Callithrix jacchus: one gene and its partner. The protein of the gene in region 1 interacts with the protein of each later gene in a biochemical or structural test. Links are inferred from orthologs where the notes say so. Each region holds a gene or a part of one and is shown in the gene's direction. Other genes may lie near its edges.

Evidence for each region.
Region 2: the proteins of CHD4 (region 1) and ADNP form a complex in vitro, tested with the Homo sapiens proteins (2 studies listed by BioGRID). The link is inferred for Callithrix jacchus from reciprocal best matches to the Homo sapiens genes CHD4 and ADNP.

Annotation. Positions count from the first base shown.
Region 1 is NC_133510.1:20,776,342-20,790,945, reverse strand, and holds part of CHD4 (chromodomain-helicase-DNA-binding protein 4), read left to right. Parts: intron 1-68; coding exon 69-204; intron 205-342; coding exon 343-521; intron 522-750; coding exon 751-990; intron 991-2,150; coding exon 2,151-2,354; intron 2,355-2,474; coding exon 2,475-2,680; intron 2,681-4,919; coding exon 4,920-5,051; intron 5,052-5,133; coding exon 5,134-5,230; intron 5,231-5,885; coding exon 5,886-6,077; intron 6,078-6,917; coding exon 6,918-7,118; intron 7,119-7,303; coding exon 7,304-7,441; intron 7,442-7,712; coding exon 7,713-7,834; intron 7,835-7,962; coding exon 7,963-8,136; intron 8,137-8,458; coding exon 8,459-8,600; intron 8,601-8,690; coding exon 8,691-8,822; intron 8,823-8,932; coding exon 8,933-9,050; intron 9,051-12,337; coding exon 12,338-12,462; intron 12,463-12,815; coding exon 12,816-13,053; intron 13,054-13,206; coding exon 13,207-13,382; intron 13,383-14,604. UniProt on the Homo sapiens protein: ATP-dependent chromatin-remodeling factor that binds and distorts nucleosomal DNA. Acts as a component of the histone deacetylase NuRD complex which participates in the remodeling of chromatin.
Region 2 is NC_133506.1:46,451,830-46,467,074, reverse strand, and holds the start of ADNP (activity-dependent neuroprotector homeobox protein), read left to right. Parts: upstream 1-5,707; 5' UTR 5,708-6,453; coding exon of another isoform or gene 6,454-6,600; 5' UTR 6,601-7,284; coding exon 7,285-7,452; intron 7,453-7,933; exon of another isoform or gene 7,934-7,996; intron 7,997-15,171; exon of another isoform or gene 15,172-15,245. Other genes in the region: DPM1 (dolichol-phosphate mannosyltransferase subunit 1), read left to right, coding at 588-692; uncharacterized protein LOC118153633, read right to left, coding at 4,627-4,700, 5,017-5,596, 5,691-5,696, 6,454-6,600.

The DNA of each region.
Region 1 (14,604 bases):
CCTCCTTGCCACTTTCTCCTTCCCCTTGGCTTGAGAACGTCTAACCTTATTCTTTTTCATTCTGCCAGAGTGAGGATGATGACTTAGATGTGGAATCAGACTTCGATGATGCCAGTATCAATAGCTATTCTGTTTCTGATGGTTCCACCAGCCGTAGTAGCCGCAGCCGAAAGAAACTACGAACTACAAAGAAGAAAAAGAAAGGTGTGTTTCTTTTCTGTATATTTGTGATGGGATGAGGTGGGAATGATTGGGGAAGAATCTCCCTAAGGAGATAGGGGTTGGGGGGTGGGGGGAGGTAGTTTTTTTCTAATAACTGGGCTTTCCCTCTTCCTTGCCCAGGCGAGGAGGAGGTGACTGCTGTGGATGGTTATGAGACAGACCACCAGGACTATTGCGAGGTGTGCCAGCAAGGCGGTGAGATCATCCTGTGTGATACCTGTCCCCGAGCTTACCACATGGTCTGCCTGGATCCTGACATGGAGAAGGCTCCCGAGGGCAAGTGGAGCTGCCCACACTGCGTGAGTGTCTGGCTGTTGTGGCCCCTTGGAGCCCATGAGAGGAAGGGTGGGACAGTAAAGCTCTTTGGGGCCTGTATGGAAATAGAAATGCTGCTGCTTCGGGTTGTGAGCTTTGGGAAGCATTCGAATGGATGGGAATGATGGAGCCACTGGCTTCAGACTTTGGTTGGTGAGTGCATGGGTAGGTGGGTGGGTGGTAATAACGTGAATCTGTGGTCTTTTACTGCAGGAGAAGGAAGGCATCCAGTGGGAGGCTAAAGAAGACAATTCAGAGGGTGAGGAGATCCTAGAAGAGGTTGGGGGAGACCTTGAAGAGGAGGATGACCACCATATGGAATTCTGTCGGGTCTGCAAGGATGGTGGGGAGCTGCTTTGCTGTGACACCTGTCCTTCATCCTACCACATCCACTGCCTGAATCCCCCACTTCCAGAGATCCCCAACGGTGAATGGCTGTGTCCCCGTTGTACGGTGAGTGACTGATCTCAGCCAGGGCAGAAGACGTGGAAAGAGTAGTCTTTTCTATGCAGGGTATTGTGAGGCTGAGGTGCAGGAGAGGAACTATGAGCTTTTTAGTCCTGAGACAGGTATTTTCCTTCATCCTGTAGTGTTGGGATACTTTTGTCCTGGGAAAATGTAGGACTAACTTCAAACAGAGGAGTAGATGTTTTGCCAGCTCCCTTAGAGGAGATGAAGCCATGTTTTTCTAGCTGAGAATGTTTGTCCTTGTTTGACACTCTGCCTCAGGGTCTTGGTAGCTTACAGTGTTTTTGATGTTTTTGTTAAAAAAATTTTTTTTTGGAGACAGGGTCTCTGTCATCCAGGTTAGACTGCAGTGGTGTGATCATAACCCACTGCAGCCTCCAACTCTTGGGCTCAAATGATCCTCCTATCTCAGCCTCTCGCTGAGTAGCTAGGAGTACAGGTGCCTGCCACCACATCCAGGTAATTAAAAAAAAAAAAAAATTCTTGGCTGGGCGTGGTGGCTCACACCTGGAATCCAAGCACTTTGGAGGCCAAGGTGGGCGGATCACCTGAGGTTGGGAGTTCAAGACCAGCCTGACCAACATGGTAAAAAAAAAAATTCTCTGTAGAGACAGGGTCTCACTATTTTGACCAGGCTGGTCTTGAACTCTTGGTTTCAAACCACTGTGCCCCCTTGTCCTCCTTAAGTGCTGGCATTACTGGTGTATACCACCATGCCAGCCAGTTTAGAATGTTGAATAGGGCCACTTACTGCTTTTAGATTGCTTAAGGGAGGAATTCTGTGCTCTAAGTCTGTTGATTTCCTGTGCCCACTGGTTCTGGATTATTGTTAAAGTCTAACTACTGGCTCTGTTAAGCAGATAGGAGTGACGGTGGCACACAAATCCTGGATGATGTCCAGAAACGGAGAGGGAATTCTATCCCAGGTTGAGCACGCTAATCCAAAAATGTGAAATCCGAAACACTTCTGGTCCCAATCATTTCAGATGAGGGGTCCTCAACCTGCATTCTCTCTCTGGAGGAGTTCTGGGATTAGATTTTATTTGAAATGAGATCTTAATCGTCCTTTGATGAAGTTGAGACTGGGCTGTCCCTTTTCCCCGCATGGTTATGATTTGGGATTAGGTTGTCTCTTTTTCTCTCAGTGTCCAGCTCTTAAGGGCAAAGTGCAGAAGATCCTTATCTGGAAGTGGGGTCAGCCACCGTCTCCCACACCAGTACCTCGGCCTCCAGATGCTGATCCCAGTACACCCTCCCCAAAGCCCTTGGAGGGGCGGCCAGAGCGGCAGTTCTTTGTGAAATGGCAAGGCATGTCTTACTGGCACTGCTCCTGGGTGTCTGAACTGCAGGTAAGTCTAGCACAGGTTGGAGATGCAGGGGCTACGATGAAGAGGGTAGTGAAAACAGCCTTGTGAATAGAAGGAATGAACACAGCTTCTTGGTGGCTGATTTTCTCTTTCCACTCGAAGCTGGAGCTGCACTGTCAGGTGATGTTCCGAAACTATCAGCGGAAGAATGATATGGATGAGCCACCTTCTGGGGACTTTGGTGGTGATGAAGAAAAGAGCCGAAAGCGGAAGAACAAGGATCCTAAATTTGCAGAGATGGAAGAACGCTTCTATCGCTATGGGATAAAACCTGAGTGGATGATGATCCACCGAATTCTTAACCACAGGTACCAGCTGGGCACATGGGAGATGGGCAGTTTCCGTGGGAGACCCTGCTAAAGGGATTGGGAAAGTGGATGTAACCAATAGCTTAGACTTGGAAGACACTTTTTTTTTTTTGAGACAGTGTCTTGCTCTGTGCCCAGGCTGCAGTGCAGTGGCGTGATCTTTGCTCACTGCAATCTCCACCTCCCAGGTTCAAGTGATTCTCCTGCCTCAGCCTCCTAAGTAGCTGGGACTACAGGCATGAGCCACCATGCCCAGCTGATTTTTGTATTTTTAGTAGAGACAGGGTTTCACTATGTTGGCTAGGCTGGTCTGGATCTCTTGACCTCAGTTGATCAGCCCGTTTCAGGCTCCCAAAGTGCTGGGATTTTGGGAGCTCCAAAATGATCACCTCACGTGATCAGCCCGTTTCAGGCTCCCAAAGTGCTGGGATTTTGGGAGCTCCAAAATGATCACCTCAGGTGATCAGCCTGTTTCAGGCTCCCAAAGTGCTGGGATTTTGGGATCTCCAAAATGATCTCCTCACGTGATCAGCCTGTTTCAGGCTCCCAAAGTGCTATGATTACAGGCATGAGCCACCACTCCTAGTTGTTTGTTTTTCTGAGATGGAGTCTTGCTCTGTTGCCCAGGCTGGAGTGCAGTGGTGTGACCTTGGCTTACTGCAGCCTACGCCTCTTGGACTCAAGTGAATCTCCTGCCTCAGTCTCCCTAGTAGCTGAGCACAGGCACCCACTACCACACCCAGCTAATTTTTATATTTTTACTAGAGATGGGATTTCACTATGTTGGCCAGGCTGGTCTTGAACTCCTGACCTCAGGCAATCTGCCTGCCTTGGCCTCCATAAGTGTTGGGATTAATAGGCGTGAGCCATCATCCCTAGCCTTATATTATTTATTTATTTATTTTTGTGTTGCCCAGGCTTGAGTGCAGTGGCGTGATCACTGCTCACAGCAGTCTTCAACTCCTGGGCTCAAGCAGTCTCTGCCTGCCTCAACTTCCCAAAGTGTTGGGATTACAGGCATAAGCTACTATACTTGACACTTTATATTATTATTGTTTATTACATTTTTTGAGACAGAGTCTCGCTCTGTGGCCCAGTCGAGTGCAGTGGCACGATGTAAGCTCACTGCAGCCTCTTCCTCCCAGGCTTAAGGGATGCTTTGGCTCTGCCTCCAGAGTAGCTGGGATTACAGACGTGTGCCACCATGCCCAGCTAATTTTTTTTTCTTTTTTTGAGACAGAGTCTCACTCTGTCACCCAGGCTAGAATGCAGTATGCAGTGGTGTGAATCTCAGCTTACTGCAACCTCTGCCTCCTGGGTTCAAGCAATTCTTCTGCCTCAGTAGAAGAGGGGACTACAGGCTGGGACTACAGGCGTGTCCTAAGTAGCTGGGACTACAGGTGTGCACCACCACACCTGGTTAATCAGTGCATTTTTAGTAGAGACAGGGTTTCACCACATTGGCCAGGCTGGTCTCGAACTCCTGACCTTGTGATCTGCCTGCCTTGGCCTCTCAAAGTGCTAGATTACAGATGTTAGACACTGTGCCTGGCCTGATGCCTGAATTTTTTTTTAGTAGAGAGAGGGTTTCTCTGTGTTGGCCAGGCTGTTCTTGAACTCCTGGCCTCAAGAGATCTGCCTGCCTCGGCTCCTCAAAGTGTTGGGATTACAGGCATGAGCCACTGCACCTGGCCAACACTATATTAATTATTAACTGACTGAATTCTGGTGTTTGAGCTCTAGGGGAGTATAGATTAGAGATAATTTTTGGTCACAAACTGGTATAATAGAGATTCTGAATACATGTGGTCTGTGGCATACCAAGAGGTCTGGTGTGGAACATACTGTATTGTCAGTTTTCTTTTTTTTTTGAGATGGAGTCTAGCTCTGTCTCCCAGGCTGGAGTGTGGAGTGTGGTGGCGCAGTCTTGGCTCACTGCAGCCTCTGCCTCCTGGGTTCAATTGATTCTTCTGCCTCAGCCTCCTGAGTAGCTGTAGCTGGGATTACAGGTGCCCACCACCACACCCGGCTAATTTTTGTATTTTTAGCAGAGACCAGGTTTCACCGTCTTGCCCAGGATGGCCTCAAACTCTTGACCTCGTGATCCGCCCACCTCGGCCTCCCAAAGTGCTGGGATTACAGGCCTGAGCCACCGCGCCCTGCCTGGTATTGTCAGTTTTCTAGAGGAAGTGAGGAGGTTGCCTTTTCTGGCTCAGGGTTTTCTCTCCTTGACTTGCAGTGTGGATAAGAAGGGCCATGTCCACTACTTGATCAAGTGGCGGGACTTACCTTACGATCAGGCTTCTTGGGAGAGTGAGGATGTGGAGATCCAGGATTATGACCTGTTCAAGCAGAGCTATTGGAATCACAGGTGAGTGATTTTGGGGGAGGAGTAGGGTTGTTTCTTCTGTAGAAAAGGGCTTTGGCAGCTGTGTGATGTCTTTCTTCTTTAGGGAGTTAATGAGGGGTGAGGAAGGCCGACCAGGCAAGAAACTCAAGAAGGTAAAGCTGCGAAAGTTGGAGAGGCCTCCGGAAACGCCAACGGTTGATGTGAGTTGGGGCGAAAGGGACTGTAGTTTGTTGGGAAGGACAGCGTATCTTTGCTGTGGTCTAATCATGGTACTCTAAGTAATGAAATGCAAATAGTAACTTTGTAGCTGAGATTACTTCACAAAGTAGGCTTCCCCACTTCACATCTCTGTGTATCAGAAAGCACTAGGATTACTTTCTTTTTTTGGCATCAGAAGAAAAAAAGATGCAGTGTTATCTATGGGGAGGGACACAGCCAAGCTTTTATGAACTTACATTGGAATCTGGCTTAATTCAGGCTCATTTCCTCTGGGTTTTGCTTGTACAGTATAATTTGAGGGTGATTAACATTGAAAAGATGAATCTAGGAGAGACATGACGATTATTTATCTGGTGGATCCTGACTAGAATTATTGTGTTGATAGGGAGTCTGTGATATGTTTTTCCTCAGTGATCTATGGGACCAAAATCAGGTCTGTCTGGTTAAAGCCCTGTTTCCTGTAGGACCCTAAACTGAACACGAATTTGCAGTAATCATAGGGGATCTTTTCCCTCAGAATTTTTTGTAGCTCTCTCCAGGAGGATCTGTGAAGACTAGTGAGGTAGAAGCAGCTTCTGTATTAGGGGAAGAAGGGAGTACCTTGCCAGCTCTTGACTTCTCTATTTCATCCTTCAGCCAACTGTGAAGTATGAGCGACAGCCAGAGTATTTGGATGCTACAGGTGGAACTCTGCACCCGTATCAAATGGAGGGCCTGAATTGGTTGCGCTTCTCCTGGGCTCAGGGCACTGACACCATCTTGGCTGATGAGATGGGCCTTGGGAAAACTGTACAGACAGCAGTCTTCCTCTACTCCCTTTACAAGGAGGTAAGGAAATCTGGGCCTGATAGTTTTTGTGTGGGTATTTTATGTTTGCAGCCTTCACTTATGCTCTGAGGAGAGAGATAAGGGAATAAAAAAATTGGTCTCTGATCTTCAAGAACACTGTGGATAATAAACACATGTACACGTGTGTTGAGTAGATAGTAGATAAACATGATAGTGGATAAACATATGTACACAGCAGAAGATATGAGGGCATGGAACCCTGGGTAGAGTTAGCAATGGGTTCATAGAGTCTCAGTTCTAGCAGAATGATTATGTGTTGAGGGAAGTAGAATTGTGAGTGGAATTAGTATGGAAAGACTTGGCTAGGCGCCATGGCTCACGCCTGTAATCCCAGCAGTTTGGGAGGCTGAGGTGAGTGAATCACCTGAGATTAGGAGTTCGAGACCAGCCTGACCAACATGGTAAAACCCCGTCTTTACTAAAAATACAAAATTAGCTGTGCGTGGTGGCACACGCCTGTAATCCCAGCTACTTGAGAGGCTGAAGCAGGAGAATCGTTTGAACCCAGGAGGTGGAGGTTACAGTGAGCTGAGATTGCACTATTGCACTACAGTCTGGGCAACAAAAGCGAAACTCTATCTCAGAAAAAAAGTGTAGAAAGACTTAATGGAAGAGATAAGACTTGCAGTTCTGGTGGGACCTTGGCTTTTTAGAAAGGAGTGGGCAGGGCATGTGCATAGAGGAAGGTGAGAGCAGGAGCAGCAGTGCAGGCTCCAGTCCTTGGCTTAGCTTGAGGGGGCAGCAGGGTGGTGGGTGTTCACTGGGATTGCAGTGTGCTGGGGCCCTCAGTCCTCACTCTCCTTCTCTTTTTCCTCCAAGGGTCATTCCAAAGGCCCCTTCCTAGTGAGTGCCCCTCTTTCTACCATCATCAACTGGGAGCGGGAGTTTGAAATGTGGGCTCCAGACATGTATGTCGTAACCTATGTGGGTGACAAGGACAGCCGTGCCATCATCCGAGAGAATGAGTTCTCTTTTGAAGACAATGCCATTCGTGGTGGCAAGAAGGCCTCCCGCATGAAGGTATCTCAAGGGAGGAAAGCCACTCTAGAGAAAGAGTTGTGGCTTCTGGCTCAGTTTACCTCTTTGTAATCTGGTCTCTGAGACAAAAGGGTAACCCTGGGAGGAGGAAAAAGTTCCATTGGTCCCCTGGTTGTGCTTACACCAGAGGAGCTGACTAGTAGTGACCAAGTTGCGTTCATGTGCAGAAAGAGGCATCTGTGAAATTCCATGTGCTGCTGACATCCTATGAATTAATCACCATTGACATGGCTATCTTGGGCTCTATTGATTGGGCCTGCCTCATCGTGGATGAAGCCCATCGGCTGAAGAACAATCAGTCTAAGGTGAGGGCTTAGGGAGGGACATTGGAGCACCCAGTTTGAGTTTTTTCTAGATCTAATTCATTAAGGGGAAAACTTGTAGGAGGAGAGGAGAGGGAAAAATTGTCTCTGCCTTCCTTCCTTATATGTGACAGCCCTTGGTGGCCAGGCCTGTAAAAAGAGTGTGAGGAGTGGGAGGCTTAACTATTGGGCAGTGAAACAACTTGAAATTTTGCAGAGATTTACCAGAGTCCTCTTTTCATTGGATTTCACCTCTCTCCATCTGCCTCACCAGTTCTTCCGGGTCTTGAATGGTTACTCACTCCAGCATAAGCTGTTGCTGACTGGGACTCCATTACAAAACAATCTGGAAGAGTTGTTTCATCTGCTCAACTTTCTCACCCCTGAGAGGTTCCAGTAAGTGTGTGCTTATCTGTAATCAGCTCATAATTATGCTTCTCATTCTTCCTGTTATCCATTTCCTGTATCACTTTCCTTTCTTCCTTTCTCCTTTTCCAGTAACTTTTTCCTTTTTCTTTCTGAAGCAATTTGGAAGGTTTTTTGGAGGAGTTTGCTGACATTGCCAAGGAAGACCAGATAAAAAAACTGCATGACATGCTGGGGCCGCACATGTTACGGCGGCTCAAAGCTGATGTGTTCAAGAATATGCCATCCAAGACGGAACTAATTGTGCGTGTGGAGCTAAGCCCTATGCAGAAGTGAGTTGGGAGGGACAGAAGCAGACTCCATTTAGACATCTGCCAGTCTGCAGTGTTTCCTATTCCTCCCCTACTCATCTTCAAGGCATCTGGTGACAGGAGCAAGCAAGGCCTGAAGAAACCTGATGCTAGGGCGCTGGAGCACATAATTCTTACTTATTTTAAGTTATACCTTCCTTATTTAAAATGGTGGTGGTGGTGCTTGTGTGTTAGGTGTCCTTAGTCCCAAAGTGGGATGTGTTCGAAGAAAGATCTCAGTTACTGGGACTCCATTATTGAAAGGCTCTCGAGTCTAACCCGCGTTTCTACCTTGCCCACGTAGGAAATACTACAAGTACATCCTCACTCGGAATTTTGAAGCACTCAATGCCCGAGGTGGTGGCAACCAGGTGTCTCTGCTAAATGTGGTGATGGATCTTAAGAAGTGCTGCAACCATCCGTACCTCTTCCCTGTGGCTGCGATGGTAGGTGTGCCACCTCTTCTTCCTCCCTGGGTTGGGACTCTTCATGTGGGCTTTCTTTTGATATTTTTTCTTCTTTGCTTTTGTCCTCAGGAAGCCCCAAAGATGCCTAATGGCATGTATGATGGTAGTGCCCTAATCAGAGCATCTGGGAAATTATTGCTGCTGCAGAAAATGCTCAAGAACCTTAAGGAGGGTGGACATCGTGTACTCATCTTTTCCCAGGTACCATGTGGGCTGGGAGATTTAGGGAACAGTCATAGACAACCCTCAGTGATATAAGGAAAGGAATTAACATCTGACTTTTCCATAGTTAAACCGTGCTCCTTTTACAGATGACCAAGATGCTAGACCTGCTAGAGGATTTCTTGGAACACGAAGGTTATAAATATGAACGCATTGATGGTGGAATCACTGGGAACATGCGGCAGGAGGCCATTGACCGCTTCAATGGTGAGAGAGAAGGAGTTGTTTCGTTTCAGTCATCCTTATTTGCTTACATTTTGGTATTGTAACTTCTTGTGCATCTCCTTTTCAGTGTAGTTCTTTTGGGGCTTTGTCAGTTGAGATGGAAGAGTAAAGCTTTTGAATGTCTCAATTGGAAGAATGTGTTACACTATTCCTAGGAGAATTTTTTTCCTTTGGGGTCTTTGTTCTTTCTGTTAGAAAGGAGAAAGCATTGCATTTTGAGGGCGAGCAAGGGGTCAGGACTTGCTCAAGCTCAAATAGCAAGTTATTGGCAGACTTGGCTGCCTTGGTAGACACTACTAGGTTTGTTTGTTTTGTTTTATTTATTCAAGATAGGGTCTCACTCTTGTTGCTGAAGCTGGAGAGCAGTGGCATGATCATGGCTCATTACAGTCTGGACATCACCCTAGGCTCAAGTGATCCTGCTGCTTCAGTCTTTCGACTAGCTGGGGCTATAGGCATCAGCCATTGCTCATAGCTAATTTAAAAAATATGTTTGTAGAGGTGGGGTCTTGCCATGTTGCCCAGGCTGATCACAAACTTCTGGTCTTTAGCAATCCTCTTGCCTTGGCTTCCCAAAGTATTGAGATTATAGGCATAAGCCACTGTGCCCAGTATTGCTGCTACTACTTGTTTTAAAACTTTTCATTTTAATTTTAGACTTAGAAAAAAGTTACAAAATGACACAGAGTTCATGTGTACTGTTCAACTAGCTTCTCTTAATAATAGCTTATATAACTGCAGTACAATGATCAAAACTAGGAAATTAACATTGGTATTGTACTATAAATGACCTTAAATGAGGGTCACGCATTTTTCCTGCTGTCCATTTTCTGTTTCAGGATCCAATCCCAGATCCCATGTTCCATTTAGTTACCATGTTTCCTGCTATCTGTGACATTTCTTCACTTTTTTCACCCTTTTCTTGTATGATACAGGTGATTTTTCTTTTTTTTAAGATGGAGTCTTGCTCTGTTGCTCAGACTTGAGTGCAGTGGCATGATCTTGGCTCATTGCAACCTGTGCCCCCTGGGTTCAGGCGATTCTTCTGTCTTAGCCTCCTGAATAGCTGGGATTACAGGCATGTGCCACCACACCTGGCTATTTTTGTATTTTTAGTAGAGATGGGGTTTCTCCATGTTGGCCAGGCTGGTCTTACCTCAGGTGATCTGCCTGCCTTGGCCTCCCAAAGTGCTGGGATTACAGGCATGAGCCACTGTGCCTGGTTGATAGAGATACTTTTGATGAGCATTGGTCAGTTATTTTGTAGAATGTCTCTAAGTTTGGATTTGTGTGATGTTTTCTCTTGATTTTATTAGAGATTTTGGGTAAGAATGCACAGAGGTGATGATTTTTTTTTTTTTAGGTGGAGTCTCACTCTGTTGCCAGGCTGGAGTGCAGTGGCGCAATGTCAGCTCACTGCAATCTCCGCCTCCCAGGTTCAAGTGATTCTCCTGCCTCAGCCTCCCGAGTGGCTGGGACTACAGGGGGTACAACACCATGGCTAATTTTTGTATTTTTAGTAGAGACAGGGTTTCACCATGTCGGCCAGTAAGGTCTGCATCTCTTGACCTCATGATCCACCCGCCTCGGCCTCCCAAAGCGATAGGATTACAGGTGTGAGCCACTGTGCCCGGCCTGACGTGTCCTTTTCAATGCATCATACTGGAGGATTTACTGGTAATGACTTGGTCACTAGTTAAGGTGGTATCTGCTGAGTTTCTGCAGGATGAAGTTTCTCTTGTTCCCATTATGATTGATAAACAGCTTGAGTGAAATTTTTTTGTTGTTGTTTTTGAGACAGAATTTCGCTCTTGTTTCCCAGGCTGGAGTGCAGTTGCACAGTCTGGGCTCATTGTAACCTTCGCCTCCTGGATTCAAGTGATTCTCCTGTCTCAGGCCTCCCGAGTAGCTAGGATTACAGGCATGCGCCACCACGTCTGGCTAATTTTGTGTTTTTAGTAGAGGCAGGGTTTCTCCATGTTGGTCAGGCTGGTCTCAAACTCCCAACCTCACGTGATCCACCCGCCTCAGCCTCCCAAAGTGCTGGAATTATAGGCCTGAGCCACCTCGCCCGGCTAGTAGCTTGAGGGAGATAGTTGAGACTATGTCAGTGTCCTGTTTCTCCTGAAACTTTCACACTGATTTCAGTATCCATCCATGGACCCTTGCTTACAGTGAGCATGACTGTGGTGTTTGCCTCATGAGGTTTTATATTCTGACATTCTTTTTTTTACCTCCGCCTCCTGGGTTCAATCAATTCTCCTGCCTCACCCTCCCGAGTAGCTGGGATTACTGGCGCCTGCCACCATGCCCAGCTGATTTTTTTGTTTTTTTTTGAGTTGAGTCTCAGTCTTTTGCCAGGCTGGAGTACAGTGGCACCATCTCAGCTCACTGCAACCTCCAACTCCCTGGTTCAAACGATTCTTCTACATCAGCCTCTGGAGTAGCTGGGATTATACATACAAGCCACCACACCCAGCTAATTTTTGTATTTTTAGTAGAGACGGGGTTTCACCCTGTTGGCCAGGATGGTCTCGATCTCTTGACCTCGTGCTCGGCCTCCGAAAGTGATGGAATTAGGCGTGAGCCACCGTGCCTGGCTAATTTTGTATTTTTCGTAGACAGTGTTTCACCTTGTTGGCCAGCTTAGTCTCCAGCTCCTGACCTCAGGTGATCCGTCTACCTCAGCCTCCCAAAGTGCTGCTGGGGTTACAGGTGTGAGCCACTGCACCTGACCTATTCTGACATGTTTTCTTTTAAAGATAGGGTGTTGCTCTGTTGCTCAGGCTGGAGTGCAGTGGCACAGTCAGCTGTCTATAACCTTGAACTCTTGGGCTCAAGTGATCCTCCTGCCTCAGCCTCCTGAGTAGCTGGGACTACAGGCATGTGGCACCATGGCCAGCTAATTTTTTTTGAATTGGAGTCTTGCTCTGTCACCCAGTTTGCAGTGTAATGGTGTAATCTCTGGTCACTGCAAACTCTGCCTCTTGGGTTCAAGTGGGTCTCCTGTCTCAGCCTCCCAAGTAGCTGGGATTACAGGTGTGCATGACCACGCCTGGCTAATTTTTGTATTTTTAGTAAAGGTGGGGTTTCACTGTGTTGGCCAGGCTGGTCTCGAACTTCTGACCTCAAATGATCCACCCACCTTGGCTTCCTAAAGTGCTGGAATTATAGGCATGAGCCACTGTGCCCAGCTTAATTTTTAAAACTACATTTGTGAATTGGAATTTAGGAGACACTTCTAATGGTGTTTTTGGTTCCTTTATTAGCACCGGGTGCTCAGCAGTTCTGCTTCTTGCTTTCCACTCGAGCTGGGGGCCTTGGAATCAATCTGGCCACTGCTGACACAGTTATTATCTATGACTCTGACTGGAACCCCCATAATGACATTCAGGTGAGCAGAGGCAGCAGGCATCCTTAGATACAATAAATAACATGTTATGCTAGAAAGGCACAGTGACCTCTATGAGGGCTCCACCGTCTGGAATAAACTTTTTAAGTGAGAAACAACAGATTCTTTTTGTGGTGTTTATCTTATTGTAAGCCAGAGAGTTTGGTTAGCTATGGTCCTATTTTGGGTAACATGATAGAGGGTGGTGTCTGGGGGCAGGGGTGCAAAAGGATGTTTCCTATGAAGGCAAGCTGCAGACCTTGCCTTGTACTGAATTTAGCATATTATGTGGAAGTCAGGATAAGAGTGGCGTCAGGAAAATACGATTTCTGGCTTTATTTCCTGCTCAATTCCAGGCCTTTAGCAGAGCTCACCGGATTGGGCAAAATAAAAAGGTAATGATCTACCGGTTTGTGACCCGTGCGTCAGTGGAGGAGCGCATCACACAAGTGGCAAAGAAGAAAATGATGCTGACGCATCTAGTGGTGCGGCCTGGGCTGGGCTCCAAGACTGGATCTATGTCCAAACAGGAGCTTGATGATATCCTCAAATTTGGCACTGAGGAACTATTCAAGGATGAAGCCACTGATGGAGGTGAGCTAGTCAGGAACTTATATTTTGGTGTGGGGCTTGGCCTCTCTGAAGATTAGGGAGAATCTTTGATACCAGGGGTCTTGTGGGACTTGCTTTTTCCACTGCAGCTGCTGAAGCTGACTTTGGGGGTATGGGCCCTTGATTTTTTTATAGGAGGAGACAACAAAGAGGGAGAAGATAGCAGTGTTATCCACTATGATGATAAGGCCATTGAACGGCTGCTGGACCGTAACCAAGATGAGACTGAAGACACGGAATTGCAGGGCATGAATGAATATTTGAGCTCATTCAAAGTGGCCCAGTATGTGGTACGGGAAGAAGAAATGGGGGTGAGTATGAATCTAAGGCAATCCTGTACTTGGTGATTGGTCTAAAAATTGGAATTGAGAACAAGGTGGTATTTGAGATGAGAGGAAAGTATCCGTAGGCAAATTTATACATTGATGAATTGATACACCTCTTCCCTTGAAGATAACATCATATTTGACTAATGAGATTCTCATCTTTGCCTTTGTTGTCAGAAGACTTACAGCTGAATATCATGCTCACAATGGTTATATTGGTTCTTTACCAGAATGTCATTTACTGAAACTAAAGAGAATAAGTAAAGAAAAAAGAAATTAAAAAAAAAAAAAAAAAAAGACAATGTCATTTTTTCTTGTGTGTTTTGTTAAACCCTACAAATAAATTTTTGAATGCTACCTCATCTCTCTAGAGAAAAGGCAGAAGATGCTAGATAATCTGTCTCCTTGGGTTTTGTGGATTTTATTTAAGAGATAGGTTCTCAGCCAGGCATAGTGGCCCACGTCTGTAATCCCAGCAGTTTGGGAGGCCGGAACAAGCAAATCACTTGAGGCCAGGAGTATGAGCTCATCCTGGCCAACATGGTAAAACCTAATCTCTACTAAAAATACAAAAACTAGCCAGGCATGATGGCGCACCCTGTAGTCCCAGCTACTCGGGAGGCTGAGGCAGGAGAATCTCTTGAACCTGGGAGGCAGAGGTTGCAGTGTGCTGAGGTTGTGCCACTGCACTCCAGCCTGGGAAATAGAGCCAGACTGTCTGAAGGAAAAACAACAACAAAAAAGAGACAGAGTCTTGCTCTGTCACCCAGGTTTGAGTGTAGTGGCACAATCATAGCGCATTGCAATCTAAAGGTCCTGGGCTCAAGAGTGACCCTAGTAGATGCGTGCTACCACACCTGGTTAATTTTTTAAAGGTTTTTAGAGATGTCTTGCTATGCTTAAATGATCCTCATCCCTTGGGCTCACAAAGCACTGGTATTACAGGTGTGAGCCACTGCACTGGGCCTCCTTGTGTTTATTTTTATTTATTTATTTATTTTGAGATGAAGTCTTGCTCTTTTGCTCAGGCTGGAGTGCAGTGGTGTGACCTCGGCTCATTGTAACCTCCAGCTCCTGGATTCAAGTGGTTCTCCTTCCTCATTCTCCTAAGTAGCTGAGATTACAGGCATCACCAAGCTCGGCTGATTTTTTTGTAGTTTTAGTAGAAATGGGGTTTCACCGTGTTGGGCAGGGTACTCTAGAACTC
Region 2 (15,245 bases), on another chromosome or scaffold:
CATAGCAAGAAAATAACTAACCTGAAATGTCACTTCTCCCGTGGAAGTTGCAAGATGTTTTACTTAATGCTAAGCTGTTATAGCTAAATTTGACAAACAACTGAAAAATCTAAGCAAAAGGCCGCTTTACTTTTGGGGTATAATTTTTCTTTGAAATGCAAACTGAAACTTGAGTAAACCAAGGTGATACCTAGGATCAGTGCATTTTAAACAGTTGTAGATTGGTTCATGTGACCTATCTTTAGATGATGCATTTAATTTTAAAGACTTGGAGATACACATAGTTGTTTTTTTTTTTTTTTTTAAAGATGGGGTTTCACCATGTTGGCCAGGCTGGTCTTGAACTCCTGACCTCAGGTGATCCACCCGTCTTACTCTCCCAAAGTGCTAGGATTACAGGCGTGAGCCACCGCACCCGGCTACACATAGTTGCTTTAAGAATCCTAAAGTACTTACTTTAAGGACTTCTTTTTAGGACTTTTTTTTAGTCCTGTTTCTGTTGTGTTGGTAATATGGTATACCTGCTAAGCTACCTAATTATTTTTGAAGACTGACTTTAATGTTTTTTGTTTTTTGTTTTTAACTAGGTTCCAATATCATTTGTGGATCGTGTTTATGGTGAATCCAAGTTGGGAGGAAATGAAATAGTATCTTTCTTGAGAGGATTATTGACTCTTTTTGCTACTACATAAAAGAAATATAATCATTTATACTTATGTTCATTTCACTTTAAACATGAAAGAAGCCTGGTTACTGATTTTGATAAAATGTACTCTTAAAGTATAAACCATAAGGTAAGGTAAACTTCACACATCTTTTTTATGAAGAACTTCTATATTTCAGATTAAGTAATTTTAAAGTTGTTGGCCTAATGAGTTTTAATGGTCTCAATTTTCATTTACATTTTGCTGTATTAAGACCTATAAATAAATGTATATGGTTTTTTTGCATAAAGTATTGCTGCTTTGATTAGAGTAAGTGAATGTAGAATTTTTTACATGGAGAATAATTTGAAATATTCTTTATAAATACTGGAATCATGAATCTTTATACCCAATAGATGTCAGAAGTAAGATAATGTTAACTGATGAAATGTTTATAGCTATATCATGGCTGTATCTGTATGATCTGTAAAAGAAATACACACCTCTGCCCTTTCCTTAAAAATGCATCTCAAATTTCTTAAACTAGAAAATCCATTTAGAGCAGGCTTTTAGAATTGGGTTCTTTTCAGCTGTGGAATTGATGAAGCATTTCATCTACCAAAGCAAGTCTATTTAAAATGCATATTGTGAATTGGGAAGCAATTTGGCAGCAGTAGATTACATAGTCGTATCTTTCTCTTTTGAGCAATAACCTCTATCAGTAAGGAAAAGTATTAATGATACTGAGGCAGAAACATAGCTGCTACAGTAATTTTTAAACATCTTACTGAATTATGTAACAATTTGTTTCTCTCTCTTTTTTTCTTTTTTTTTTTTTAAGATGGAGTCCTGCTCTGTCTCCCAGGCTGGAGTGCAGTGGTGCGATCTTGGCTCACTGCAGCCTCTGCCTGTGGGTTCAAGTGCCTCAGCCTCCCAAGTAGCTAGGATCACAGGCATACGCCACCACGCCTGGCTAACTTTTTTCTTTTTTTATGTAGAGATGGGGTTTCACCGTGTTGGCCAGGATCACCTTGATATCCTGACCTTGTCATCCACCCACCTTGGACTCCCAAAGTGCTGGGATTAGAGATGTGAGCCACCAAGCCCAGCGTAACAATTTTTTTCTCAAAAGAATTGTTTTCATATTATTTGAAGACCCTCAGCAAAGCTCACATCTCTACTAATATGAAAAATCTCTTCCTTAAGCACTTCTGCCAGTTAAAATACAGGCTAAGCTATCCAATAAAGCCAGGGCTAATAATACGTTTATCTACTCTCTCTAAAGTATTTCAGAAGAGATCAGTTAATTTCTAACTGTAGCATAGGTTATGGATCATGTAGTATCTTTTAAAATTTGAGTAAGGGCATGCTTTGAGAAAATTAGTTTAAGTTGACTTTCTTTTGCAAATAAAAGGGGTGTCTCTAAATTATTTATTGAACAATATTCCTGATTACTACATTTTCCTGGCTTAATTTGGCTGCTGAAGAAATTTATTGAGGCCAGGCACAGTGGCTCATGTCTATAATCCCAGCACTTTGGGAGTCCAGGGCAAGAGGACAGCTTGAGCCACAGGTGTTGGAGACCAGCCTGGAGAACACAGGGAGATCCTGTCTTTACAAAAAATAAAAAAATTAGCTGGGTGTGGTGGTACTCACCTGTGGTCCCAGCTACTTGGGAGGCTGAGGTGGGAGATTCACTTGAGTCTGAAAGGTCAAGGCTGCAGTGACCTGTGATCATTCCTGGACAACAGAGTGAGACCCTGTCTTTTTTAAAAGGAAAGAAATTGAAAGTCTAATTTTTATTTGCATTTCTCTCTGACAGATTCTACCAGAAATGAATCCCAGACTATAAAACCTGTGGTGTCATTTCAAATATGAAAACCTCCCATACTTCTGTAGTTGAACCCATAATACACATTTCAATAAGGATCACTACTGTTTCCCTTTTGTCCAGAACGGACCAGCTGTCCAATAAGGGACCTGCCTTCCTTGGGGAGGAGATTTCTCATTAATAACAACAAGAAAATTTATTAGTGCTTGATGTGCAATTAGTTTTAAGCTAAGATAATAGAAATGTAATATTCTGTTTTTTTGGAGTGATTAGAATTTATTCTTAACCTAAACTCAAAGTTAAGTTCTCAGTGTCAAGTATGTGGAGCAGAAATTAAGTAACCACCTTAGAGAACCTGATACACAGTACTGCCTTCTCAGATCTCACTAGAGTAGATAATGTTTGCTCTTTCAATCTTTTCATTTGTTATTCCCACAATCATTACAACACTGTCACTCTTAGAATTTACAGTAGAGACAGTATTTGAGCATTGAAGACTCACAGCATTTGGAAGTCATTTAGAAAAGAATCTGGACTATTTAGATGCATTTTTGTAGTAAATCTGGTGCTCAAACACTGTAAAATTAAACATTTACATCTGAATCCAGCATCCTATTTTGCTTTGTAAATGAGGCCAAAGATGAAATCCAGATGTTTTCCCTTTGTATTTGCATTATCACTATATGGAATCTAAGTATATCTAAGGAAAACTAAACTTAAACTTACTTTGCTTATTTCATATTAGTTTTTGTCTGTTTTCTGCAGTATGTAATTAGATTATCTTTGGTTCTTTGAATCAAATGCTTTGCCCCAACCCCTTTTTCCACAACATTTTTCAGCTGTTTTCCCTTGAAATACTGACTTGGTTTTTAAAGATATTTTATCACAATTTCAGAAATGTGTTGTATGAAAGTTTTTTAAACAGGGCTAACTGAAGTCTTAGACGTTGAGCAGCTATGTGTAATCACAGTTGATGTTACTTGCAACGAAGTCAGATTATTTTCGGATGTTAAGTATGGCTTAAAAGTATGTTGACTTGAATTTACAAATCACATATTAAGGAAACAGGCTTGGTTAATTCTTCACTACTGACATCTATTATTTGCCAGTACATTTAACCAATGATACTTTAAATCATGATACTTTAACCAACCTACTTTAAAAGGTTGGTTCAAAAATGTTGAGGAAAATAATGCATTGGTTGGGTTTGACCTAACTTTTCAACGTAACCATGTGCTGTCTTACACTACCCAGATTGTGGGAGCACCAAAAGTTATGTCCCTAGGACTACAAGGTGTGTTGTTTAAGGATCTTGCAGAGAGCCAATGCCCCCATTGGCAACATCACTTCTCATCCTGAAATTTCACCCGTTGGGAGTCCTCAAGGCACCAGGATTCCCATTTTTTTTTTAAATTCAGGTCAAAGAGAAGAGTCCATCACTGTTACTGGGAAGAATGTCAAGTCACAGAGTAATGGCGAACCTTAATAAAATCTCGACCCCTCTGCACCGAATACCCCCCAGGAAGGGGCAGGCATCCTTGGGGTTGTGTCTCATCCCAAGTCACTGTGTGAAGCACGAGGCCCTCACACCTCATTTAAGGCAGGAGACATCAGACGCGACCGGCCAGGTGTTCCGGCGCCTTTCCACCGCTTCTCAGGCGTGGAGGAAGCGCGGGCCTCTGAGCACGTGGAGCCGCCCCGGGCCGCCCTGCACACCCCTCCCGCCAGATGTAGTCCAGGCCCAGCTGGGCCCGCGCAGGGATCCCCAGCACGGCCACCTGACTGAGTGCTGGGCGTGCTGCGGCCCGCTGCTTCTGCCTCCGCCGCCGGCGCTGCGGCCAGAGGAAGGCGCCCGCTGAGCACCCGGGCCCTGGGAGCGCACTGCGGCCATTATCCACGGCGCCTCCTAGTGGGTCAATGGTAAATCCTCCTGGTTCTCGCGAGAGTTCCCCCACCTCAGTGGGGATTATATAATTTCCCTCAGGCGGGGGTGGGGGTTCTGAGAGCACCCTCCCTCAGGAAAAGTTAGGTGCAAGCACAGGTGGGAGTAAGAGGGGCCTCCCTGGGGGAAAGGGGGTTAGGGGTACTGTCCCCACTGCCCCCCCTACTTAGCTGGACAATGAGTCCTCTTATGCTAATGAGGCACTTACGTCACTTCCTCTCTTTCTCGGCCGCCATTTTGGCTGGGGCAGGTTCGGGGACTCGGTCCGAGGCGCTTGTATTGTCTGCTGAGGGGAGACGCGGGATCAGCCCCCCTCCCCCGCCTGTTGCCGCCGCCGCCTCCGCTGGCCCGGTCTCCCCTCCGCCGCCCGCCGGGATCCATGAGCTGAACTCCCGCCCCCCCCGGCCGCCGCCATCTTGTGCCCCCTCCCACTCCCGCAGGCAGCGCTAAGGGGGATTTTGGCGTCTTCTCAGACACAGCTCCCTCTCTCGGTCCCCGCTGCTGAGGAGCGAGAGGAGCGCGGCCGCCGCCGCCCGCGCCGGTGAAGCCGCCTCTCCCACACCCTCCGTCTCCTCCCTCCGCCCCTCCTTTGTCTGCACCGCTCGACGACGCCGCCGCCGCCCGCCGCTCTGCTGCGCCCGCCGCGCCCCCCGGCAGCACCCGCGGCCGCGGCGCGAGCCGGAGCCCGCCGAGCCGGAGCGCGACGAGGCCCCGGGCGCGCCCTCCCCGCTGCCGCCACCGCCGTGCCGCCGCCATCCGCCCGCCGCCGCCGCCGTCCGGCCCCCGAGCACGCCGGCCCCACGCGCGCCTTGAGGCCGAGTCAAGGTAAGCCTGGCGCCGCCGCGCGCGGACCCGCGGCCCAGCCCTGCCTCCCGACCCCGGCCCGCGCGGCCGTCTGCCCAGCCCGGCCCCGGGCGCGGGCGCATTGTTGTTCGCATCGCCGCCCTCCAGCCGCACACACGCTTCTTTGCACACCCCGGCGCCGACGGGCCGCCAGTCCCGGCACGGACCGCTACCCGGCTCTGCTCTGGAGGGCCAGGCGCCTCCTCCTGCAGCCCGACCCCCTTCTCCGCCCCGTGAGCCCACCGAGGCCAGCAGCCAGCCTGGCTGCCGGGAGCTTTTGCAGCTAATGGCATCTCCCCCACCCCGCCTCCAGCCAGAACCTAGCTTCTCCCATCCCTAGAACTAATCCCGTCCGCCCCCCACCCCCAAAAGGAGCCCCCCCCACGCACACTCCCATGCCTGGAACGAGCCTTCTGCCGGGTCTACCCACCCTTAGCTGGGGGAGGGGGGACGGGGTTGAGGGGGCCGGGGAGCATGCATGGCACGGAGTGAAAGTCTTTACCTCCCCTGTGCAATCCTTCCTTCCCAACCTGCCAGCTTCCCTCCTATCATGACCACAGTCTACCAACCATCCCTTTTCCCAGTCTCAGCTGCCTGGTCAGCACCTCCTTCGAACATTCTGAGCCCTAACTTTGCAGTAAGATGGTAGAAAATGGAAATCCAGAAAGCTGCAAAAAGATTTTCTCGTAATGAATGGGGAGTAGTTTTGGGAGCACCTTCTATTCACCTCTTCTTTCCTCTGGGCTGCTTGCCTGCCTTCCCCTCCCCCCCAACCTTGATCCCTGTCTGCTGGAAAAGGCGCGATTGCTTCTCTTCCTCTTCTGCCCAAGGCAAGACTCTAGGTCTGATACCTTTTTAGCCACACACCCCCCCCCCCCCCACACACACACACACGCGAAGTCTTCTTAATGTTTTTGCATTCACCAGTTTCTCTGGACACTTCTTGCCATAACCCCATTTTACAGACAAAGGCTTAGGAGGGAAAAAGAACCAAACTGTTTGCTGTGTTTGCCATGTTAATGCTCTCCATCCCCACACACCCAGTTCCCATCCCTGATGCTTCTTGTGCCTGTGTCTTGAACCTTCAGAATGGAAAGGAAAATAAGAATCTCTTGGATAGCTTGATACAGTTTCTTTAGAAATCTGCATTGTTGCTTCTGGTTTATGGCCATGGAGAAAATACCAGCCCCCACCCAAAATGCACCGCAGCCAAGTCGGCTAAAGGCGATGAGTGTTGGAGTCAGTAGGGGGCGCATTCTCTGCACTGGGTAAGGCTGCAGAGGGGGGAAGGGCCCCCGAGCTAGAACAGGATGTGCTTCACAGCGCCTTCTACAGACCATGGGAAAATGGGCCCAGCAAGTCACACTCGCACTTAGTTGGTGAGCTGACAGCAACATGGCGAAGGATTAAGTGAGTCAAGAGCAGTGATTTTACTCCTTTTAAAGAGCCCACCCTGCATTTTAGAAGTTTGCTCCTTTTACTTTTTCATAACTGTTGGCCCTCAGACAGTCCACATTTGTTCTTGACGATTCACCTTGGCACATCCTTGGTTCGGATTCCCTTTCTCTAGAATAACATTTTGACTGTGTCACCATAGCTTTCCTAAGTCTGGTGGTAAAGGAGAAAGTTTGAAACCTGAAAGTAACAGGTTTGGGGGCATAGCTAATTAACTCCTTTCATCATAGCCCAGATCTTTCCAGTTCTTTGAGAGGTAAAAATCATTCTTGAGAGATGTTGGATTTTTGTGGGGTAGTAGTTTTTATAAGTGAGAAGATGGGTGTCATGATTTGCAAAGCCTTGTTGGTAAACATCAAGCCCATGTTGGGTTCTTCATTGTCAAACTCAAGTGTTGATTGTAAAAAATTTGTTTCCCTCCAAAATTGGACTTGTAATTGCCATTCATTATCTCAGCAGCCAACCACCTTTACCAAAATGTTGATAGCAGTCTTCTGTGAGCACCCACCTTCTTAGGGTGTGTTGATTTCTATAGATTTTACTCCTCTTGTTATTTCCATAGGTGTGAGATGCACAATGCGAAACCTAGGCCCCAGCTTTTACACCATGATGCGCAGGGTTGTACCTTTTGTACTGAACTGATAGGTGGCCTAGTGGTTATGCCCTGTACTACCATTTTGAGGATCTGGACTCCGTTTCCTGCCTTGCTCTTTGGACCACATTGTCAATTCACACCGGTGGGTATATTCATTTTGGAGGGTGGGAACTTCAGCAACAGGGAAGCCAGAGACTTCTTCCTCCTTGGTCACCACCAAAGCCAACACTTCCAAAATTTCAGCCTAGCCACATTCTTCAAGGAACCGGTTAGAGCTGTTGCAGTAGTGGGTTCTGAACACTTATTAACATAAGAAATGACTTACAGCTTCTTTAAGAGAAATTTTTGCAGATGCTGTTATTGTTGTAATCATTTGCATTCTACACCCTTGTGTATAAAGTATGTTAAGTATTCAGTTACTATTACTTTGATGACCCAATTTCCAAGCTTCTAAAAGCCTTAAATATCTGATGAAAACATGCTTTTGCATGAACTTGTTCTTGCTACTAACGATTGACAGTGGTTGTTTGTGGGTACCTTTAAGACTTTGTTACAAGTATCTTACGTAAATACACCAAGATAAGTTTATGGGGAACTGAATGGGTGTATTCTTTGATACCTAGTTAACCAGTTGGTGCTTAACAGGAGAATTTTTCATTGGAGAATTGCTACCAATTAACGTTTTGGTGAGTGAAAAGGAGGCCCTTTGGTACAGGTATTTGACTAGAGACTACATTGCTTTTACAATTTTTTAGTAATTGTAAAAAAATCAGATCTTTAAATGGGATTCTTTTAATTTTTAAATACTGTATAGTATGTGTAGACAGGTAGAGTTTTTATCTTTATTTGGTGTTTTATATACAGTTACTTAAGTTCTAGTAATGAGCATATAATTTGAAGACAACTTATTTGAGGGAATGTTGGAGATGAAGTTTGTGGAGGGGCTTTTGTTTTATTTAACAAATGTTAAATGATGTCCTAAGTGGTAACAGTCATTTACCCTTAAAGGAAAACTTGCTGTGAGCTCTTAGAAAGCACGTATTCTACAGTTTCAAAGGTTTCTTGGTTTTAACACTCAAAAAAAGTAAGGGGAGTTCAGGCGAGGTGGCTCATGCCTGTGAAACCAAAACTTTGGGAGGCTGAGGCAGGAGGATCACTTGAGGCCAGAAGTTCAAGACCAGCCTGGGCAACGTAACGAGACCCCATCTCTACCCCCCAAAAAAAGGTGAAATAATTGGGCTTGAAGACTGGGATTTATAGTAGGTAAACTGTATACTTATTAAAGTATAGTAAAAGACTCAACTAGAGTGTGGGAATGGGTAGTCTGTGCAACTGAACTTTAGGTAGAAATTCTTTCTTTATCTTGGCCTTTGTCAAAAAATTTCCTGAGACTACCTTACCAGGAGCTGCTATATACTGAAATTAACTTCTTTGATTTTGGTTCTTTTTTCTTTTGGGGGGGGAGCTCTTCCCTCCCCCCTGATTTTGGTTCTTATAGTCCCTGTATAGAAAACATAGGAGATTGGGCTGAAACTCTTAATGCCCCTGGCACTGCTAATCTTGGAAGTCATTGATTTTAGACATTCCCTCTGTTAATTTGCTTTGCTTTGCTTAAGTTTATCTTTTTCTCCTTATACCAGAGTGCAGGAAGAGTTTTAATACTATTTATATTAAAATAAGAACTTTGGGATATTGAACAGGTGGTTTTGGTACCACTTGCAAGTAACCGACAGGTAGGCTTTTATCAAGCCACAGTGGCTTATTATTTATATTTGATTATTAAAAACATAAGGTATACTATGTGTGAAGTTGTTGCTTTCCTTGTAACTACTTAAAAGTTTTTTTGTTTTGTTTTAATTTTAAAGGTGGGGTTTCACCATGTTGGTCAGGCTGGTCTTGAACTCCTAACCTCAGGTGATCCGCCAGCCCTGGCCTCCAAAGTGCTTGGATTACAGGTGTGAGCCACCACGCCTGGCCCTAAAAGTTTTGAAAGGATTAAAAACGTTAGTATTTTGAAAACTGAAATACTCAGCAGTATATTAGTTGAATGAGATGATGTTGGCTACAAGTTTTATTGTGAAATTTGCAACCTAAGGAAGATAGAGCTGTTTTGCTATACAGGAGAAAGTAGGGATTGATACTTCACAGGGTAGAAAAGAGAAAAGAAAAACTTCAGAATTTGTCATTTTTCTTTTGAGAATCTTGTATAAGTAACAAAACTGCAATAATTGTAATAGACCTCAGCCAGTTGATTTCATAATTGGGGCATGTGTTGTGTGTGCACACATACACATAGAATACAGTTGGGTTTTCTAGAGCTGGAAATGGTTATCGTATTATTAAATACAAATGAAAAGTTGAAGTATCAGAGGTGTAGTTTGGGGAAAATATATTTAGTTTGAGATGGCATTTGTTAGATGTATTGAGATGGACAATACATATAAGTGTAGTAAAAAACATACCAGAATTAAACTTTATATACTTTTTTCTAAGTAACGTATTTAAGTGTTAGTGAAATAAAGATTTTTAAAATGATATAAAAGGTAAATAATTGAAATTTTTATTTTATAAGGTTAGAAGCATTATTGTGGTTTACAGCAAAATACCCATGACTGTTGTGTAAATAAGCTACTTGTTCAACCTGGACTTCCAATGGAGTTTTACTTTAAAAGAGTGTCATAAAGTCTGTTGTGTCCTTTGTAAGGTAAAATACTTTCAGTGGGAGTTTAACCTTCATTCTCTTGCCTGAGACACATGTACATTAAGAGAAACATTGCTCCCTATGTGTAAATAATTTAATTGTAGTTAGATTCACAGAGCTTGACTTGTTACTAGCATTGCATAAACTTAAAGTTTTTCTTTTCCTAGTTTATTGTTTTGTTTGTTTTTGAGACAGTCTCGCTCTGTCTCCCAGGCTGGAGTGCAGTGGCACAATCTCAGCTCACTACAACCTCTGCTTTCTGGGTTCAGGTGATTCTCCTGCCTCAGCCTCCTGAGTAGCTGGAATTACTGACATGAGCCACCATACCTGGCCCCTCTCCTAGTTTTGTAAGAGTTTGTGATACTGACTGTGGAGCAAATGCCATGTTTTGCTGTTGTACATCAGTGTCAGTTAACATCTTTTATATTGTTAGTTTGGAAACTTGGTGTTTGAAACTGGTATAAACCAAAGCCCCATGCTAATTAATTGATATTTTGAATGTGAGAGCTGTTTCTTGTTTTTACATTGGCACTTTCCACCTTGATTTTGAGATACTTTATTAGATAAACCATCCATGCTTTGTCCATCATGGGTGGCCATTGTGACTTCTTGTTTTTTTTTTTTTTGTTTGTCTGTCTGATCCTGTTAATTAGAAAGTGAGGAGAGGATGATTATGTTCTTTCATTCTCTCTGTGTCTTAGTACTCCTTACACCTGTGTTACATTATGACCTACCTTTGCTATGTGCCAGTTTTGGGGTCAGCTTAAGTGAGAATTCATATTCTGCTTCGCTGGAATGAGAAGGCTCTCCTCACGTATTATGCTTCTCAAGTCAACTTGATTATGTAGAGTGTATGTGTGTAGGAAGTCACAGATAACATTTGAGCCAGCTATGGAAGGTGACAGTTTTGATTGCAGGGCACATGTGTTTATTCTAATCAATGAAAAATGCAAAATTCATATCAGTGTTTTAGTCCTGGGTCCTCTCATCTCTATGTATTAATTCAGTCCACTGCCTTCAGGGTTCCCTGAGATTCACTCACAAACTTTGGCATTTTGATCCTTAACCTTGATTCCAAGATAGCTGCTGGAGAAATCCTGGAACCCCTCAAGAATTTCAGCAGTGTACTAGAAATAAAGATAAAGAAAATAAGAGGAAAGCATGGACAATGTTGAATAGAGTTTACAAAGGGAAGGCTGCTCTGAATATATGCCCTAGCTTTAGATTTAAGTTAAAGATATAATTTAAAAGCATACACATAATCTAAAAGTCATGCATTATTTGACCAGCTGTTAGAATTAAAAATGAATCTACATATCCTGATACCCTCTTTAGTAAGGGTATATATTTGTAATTGAGTCACTTAGCTGTGGGTTGTATTTATGTGTCACTTCTTTTGTGACTGTGATAACTTGAATGAGGATGCACTGTAAAGTGTAAAGGCCCCCTCGCTGGCCTTTATGTATTATAATATTGATGGCTTGCCCATTTCATTTTCCAGGCGTTTTATAAATTATTGTTGATTCTCAGAACTGTCCTTGTTTCACAAGTAGGGAAATCAAGACATTATCACATACAATGATAAAGTGAGCCACCAAATATGTCTGGGCTGGTTCCTAGGCCTGTGCTCAGAACACAGGCCTTTGTGGTGCTCCTGTAAGCTGTTTGGCTAATGGAGGTTCACATAAATGCTTTATCATTTCATAGTAAGGTTTTGTTCTTCCTTGTGAGCTTATACTCAAGGATCCCAATGGGCCCTATATTTAAAGAAGCTGGCCACAGCCTCAGCAGGGAGAGTTTGGGTGTAAATTGTGCAGGTGGCAGTTAATTGAAGTAGCATATTTCTACCTTGAAGTTAACTTTATAAGAATCTAAAAAGAAACTTTGTTTATGGTCCCTTTTCTTTTCCCAGTTTTTTAGTTTAAGGCAGTCTTGTTCATTCTCTTCCTGAGCAATTGTTTTTGTCTTTGATAATTGCTGGCATTTACCCTTTCTTTTTCTGAAGCCTTCATGCTCCATTTAAGAGCTTGTGGAAACCTGTGGTTCAGTCGACCATCTGTAAAGCTCTGCTCTTCTGGTAGAAGCTGGTGACTTCAGAACCTTTTGAGTGGTCTCTTTTGAAGAAATTCCTGTGTAGTGGAAATACGGTGGAATGTATTAAAATTTTAGATTGGAATTATAAATTTAGGTTGACAGAATTCTTGCTCTTGTGAGCTGAGACTGGGAGTATCCAAATGCAAAAAGTGCTCAGAATCCTGCTTCAAAATTAGTTACATTTAAAAACAGCAGTAAGAGGCCAGTCTCAGTGGCTCCCACCTGTAGTCCCAGCACTTTCTTTGGGAGGCCAAGGTGGGCAGGTCAGGAGTTTGAGACCAGCCTGGCCAACATGGTGAAACCCCATCTCTACTAAAAATAAAAAATTATCCTGGTGTGGTGGCGCACAGCTGTAATCCCAGCTACTTGGGAGGCTGAGGCAGGAGAATCACTTCAACCTGGGAGGCAGAGGTTGCAGGGAGCCGTGCCACTGCGCTCCAGCCTAGGCGACAGAGTGAGAATTTGCCTTAAAAAAAAAGGGGGGGGCAACAAGAAAAATGCAAATAAAAACTGGGAAAAAGTATAAAAAACTGAGCCATCAAGAGGCAAAACCTGGTACAAGAATGCTTTTGAAAAGATACTTTTGGTGAATCCTTGATCCTGAGAGATGGCTTAAAAACTGAGAACATGGTTTAATTAAATTATTCTGTTAAGAATAGTGAAAGAAATATATTTCCTATTGTGGGAAATTATTTCTGAGTAGTTTTGATAAAGCGTGAAGAATTTTACATCATTTAGATACAAACACCTGGCATGCTTCTGAAATAATTTATAAATGGACATATCTGCTTGTCCTTTTGTGGTGTTATGATACATACTGGTTTTCGTCCACCACGGTTCCTGGCTCATAACACCCATAACCCCTATTACCATGTTTTGTTAGAATATTGGGTGTGTTAGGCCTCAGAAAATAATCTCTCTGACCTTCTCTTGCACTCCTTTCACCCACCCCAAGGCAAGACTAATCTTCACCCAGCTTTCTGATTGTGGGTCTTGAAACCCTCCCTAGAGAGGGCCCCACCCTATACCTGGGGGAAAGGAGGTAGGAAAGGATGCCAACAGGATGAAGCTTTCATAAAAACCCAGGAGGACTGGCTTCAGAGAGCTTTTGGATAGCTGAAAACATGGAGGTTCCTGGAGGGTGGTGCACCCAGGGAGAGCATGGACCCTCCGAGCCCCTATGCATCTCTTTATCTGTATTTTTTATAATAAACTGGCAAACGTAAGTGCTTCCCTACGTTTTGAGAGATGTTCCAGCAAATTAATAGAACTTGAGGGGGGTCTTAGTAACCCCAGCTTAAAGCATCAGAATTTCTGGAGGCCCAGACTTCCAGTTAGTGTTTGAAGAAGGGGAGAGCAGTCTCAGGGACTGAGCCTCCCAACTTGTGGAATATGACACTATAACCAAGTTAGAGGACACCCAGCTGATGTCTGCTGCTTGGGAAAAACCACGTTTGGTCACAGAAGACAATGTCACAACTTCTGCGTGGTGTGACGGCAGAGGAAAAACTCAATTTTTGAGAGTCCTCCCCTAAAATACCCCTTAAGGGCTGCTTGTGAGTTATTTCCCTTTTTAAATTGCTCTTAGGCCAGGTTGTCCACTTAAACAGTGACAGCAAGTGACTGTATGCCTGTGGAGTTCTTATGTAGGCAGCGGAGTGCTAGGATCACTCTTTGTGCTGTGCCCCTGCCTTGCTGCAGTACCTATTTAAAGTGAAGTAAACTGGGAAGTGCTCCTCACCTCACACTTTTCCTTATCTAGATTGGTATATTATAAAGTATCCTCAGTCTGTTTTTCTTGTTTAAAGCATGAGGCATCTTCCCCCACTTCCAAAATACAATTTTAGGTGAACTCTTAAGTTGATGAAGGGTCAGGGGCCAGACCCCTGGCTTCCTAGCTTTCACCTTGTTCCTCAGGCATCATCTTCCCTCTGTTTGTGTACAGATCTTAAACTTTTACAGGAGTACAGCCTGAAAACAGCTGGTTCTACTGGTGTACTGGAAATTCCGGCGGTCACTGCTAGTATTCTTGCCTGAAATCTGAATACTCAAAGTACCAGGATAAGCAGCAACACAGTCACGGTTTTCCAGTTGTGGGCACCAATCTTCTAGTCTGAAAATCTTCCTAAAAGACCAGTGACTTTATATAATTTTTAAAACATAAGATATGCAAAATCTAGATGACAGCTTTATGTTTCTACATAACTGTTAAGTTACCTAGGTTTATTTTAGTTGCAGATGTTCTGTTGCATAAATATTTTAAGTGTCACTGAGCTTGTGAAGTTAAGAATGTGCTAACCTGAGTATGCATGGCTCACACGGATGTAAAATATTGTATAAAAACACTCCTGTGCATGTAGCACATTGTAATGTGTACAGGAACAGATGTTGTTATGGCAACCACATCTGATTCTCAGGCATAATAGTTTGAGCTTTTTGGAGAGGTTGTGCCCTAGTGTGAACTCAGAATTTTCAAGGTGATTATTTTAGTATCTCATCTGGTTTAAGGTGATAATGGTAACTGTCTTAAGCATTCACTTGTATCATGTCATTTAATCCTTCTGACACTAAAACAATGAGATAGTGTCCTTCTGGTTACACTGTAAGAAAATAGACCTCTAGAGGTAAAATAACGTGTAGGATCACAAAGCTAGTCAGTGGCAGAGCAAGGATTTCAATACAGATCTGTCCAACTGTAGAGTGGACCACTGCATCTTATCTTTATTTTCTAGCAAAGAAAGGCATCACTGTGCTAAGTCACTGTACCTCTTGGTAAGGAAGTTTGAAGTTATAAGGTACAAATTTCTTACATATGGCTGATACGTAAATTGTTGTCCATGAAAACAGTATTATTAGCACAAATTTTTACTTAGGCTATAATCTTCACCTGTGAACCTTTTCTTTTCCCCTCCTTTTACAGTCACCCCCAGTATCTTATCTCCTAAGGCAGTGATGGTTTCCCAGACCTCTCAGATTGAGAAGATGTGGCATGGGTTTAAACTCCCTCAGGTGATTCTGAGGGTTGGGTAGGTGTGGTATCTTTTACTTAGCTGACTTCCTCCGGCCTTTCTTTTCTTTTTTTTTTTTTTTTTTTGTGGCAGAGTCTGTCTCTGTTGCCCAGGCTAGAGTGCAGTGGAGCA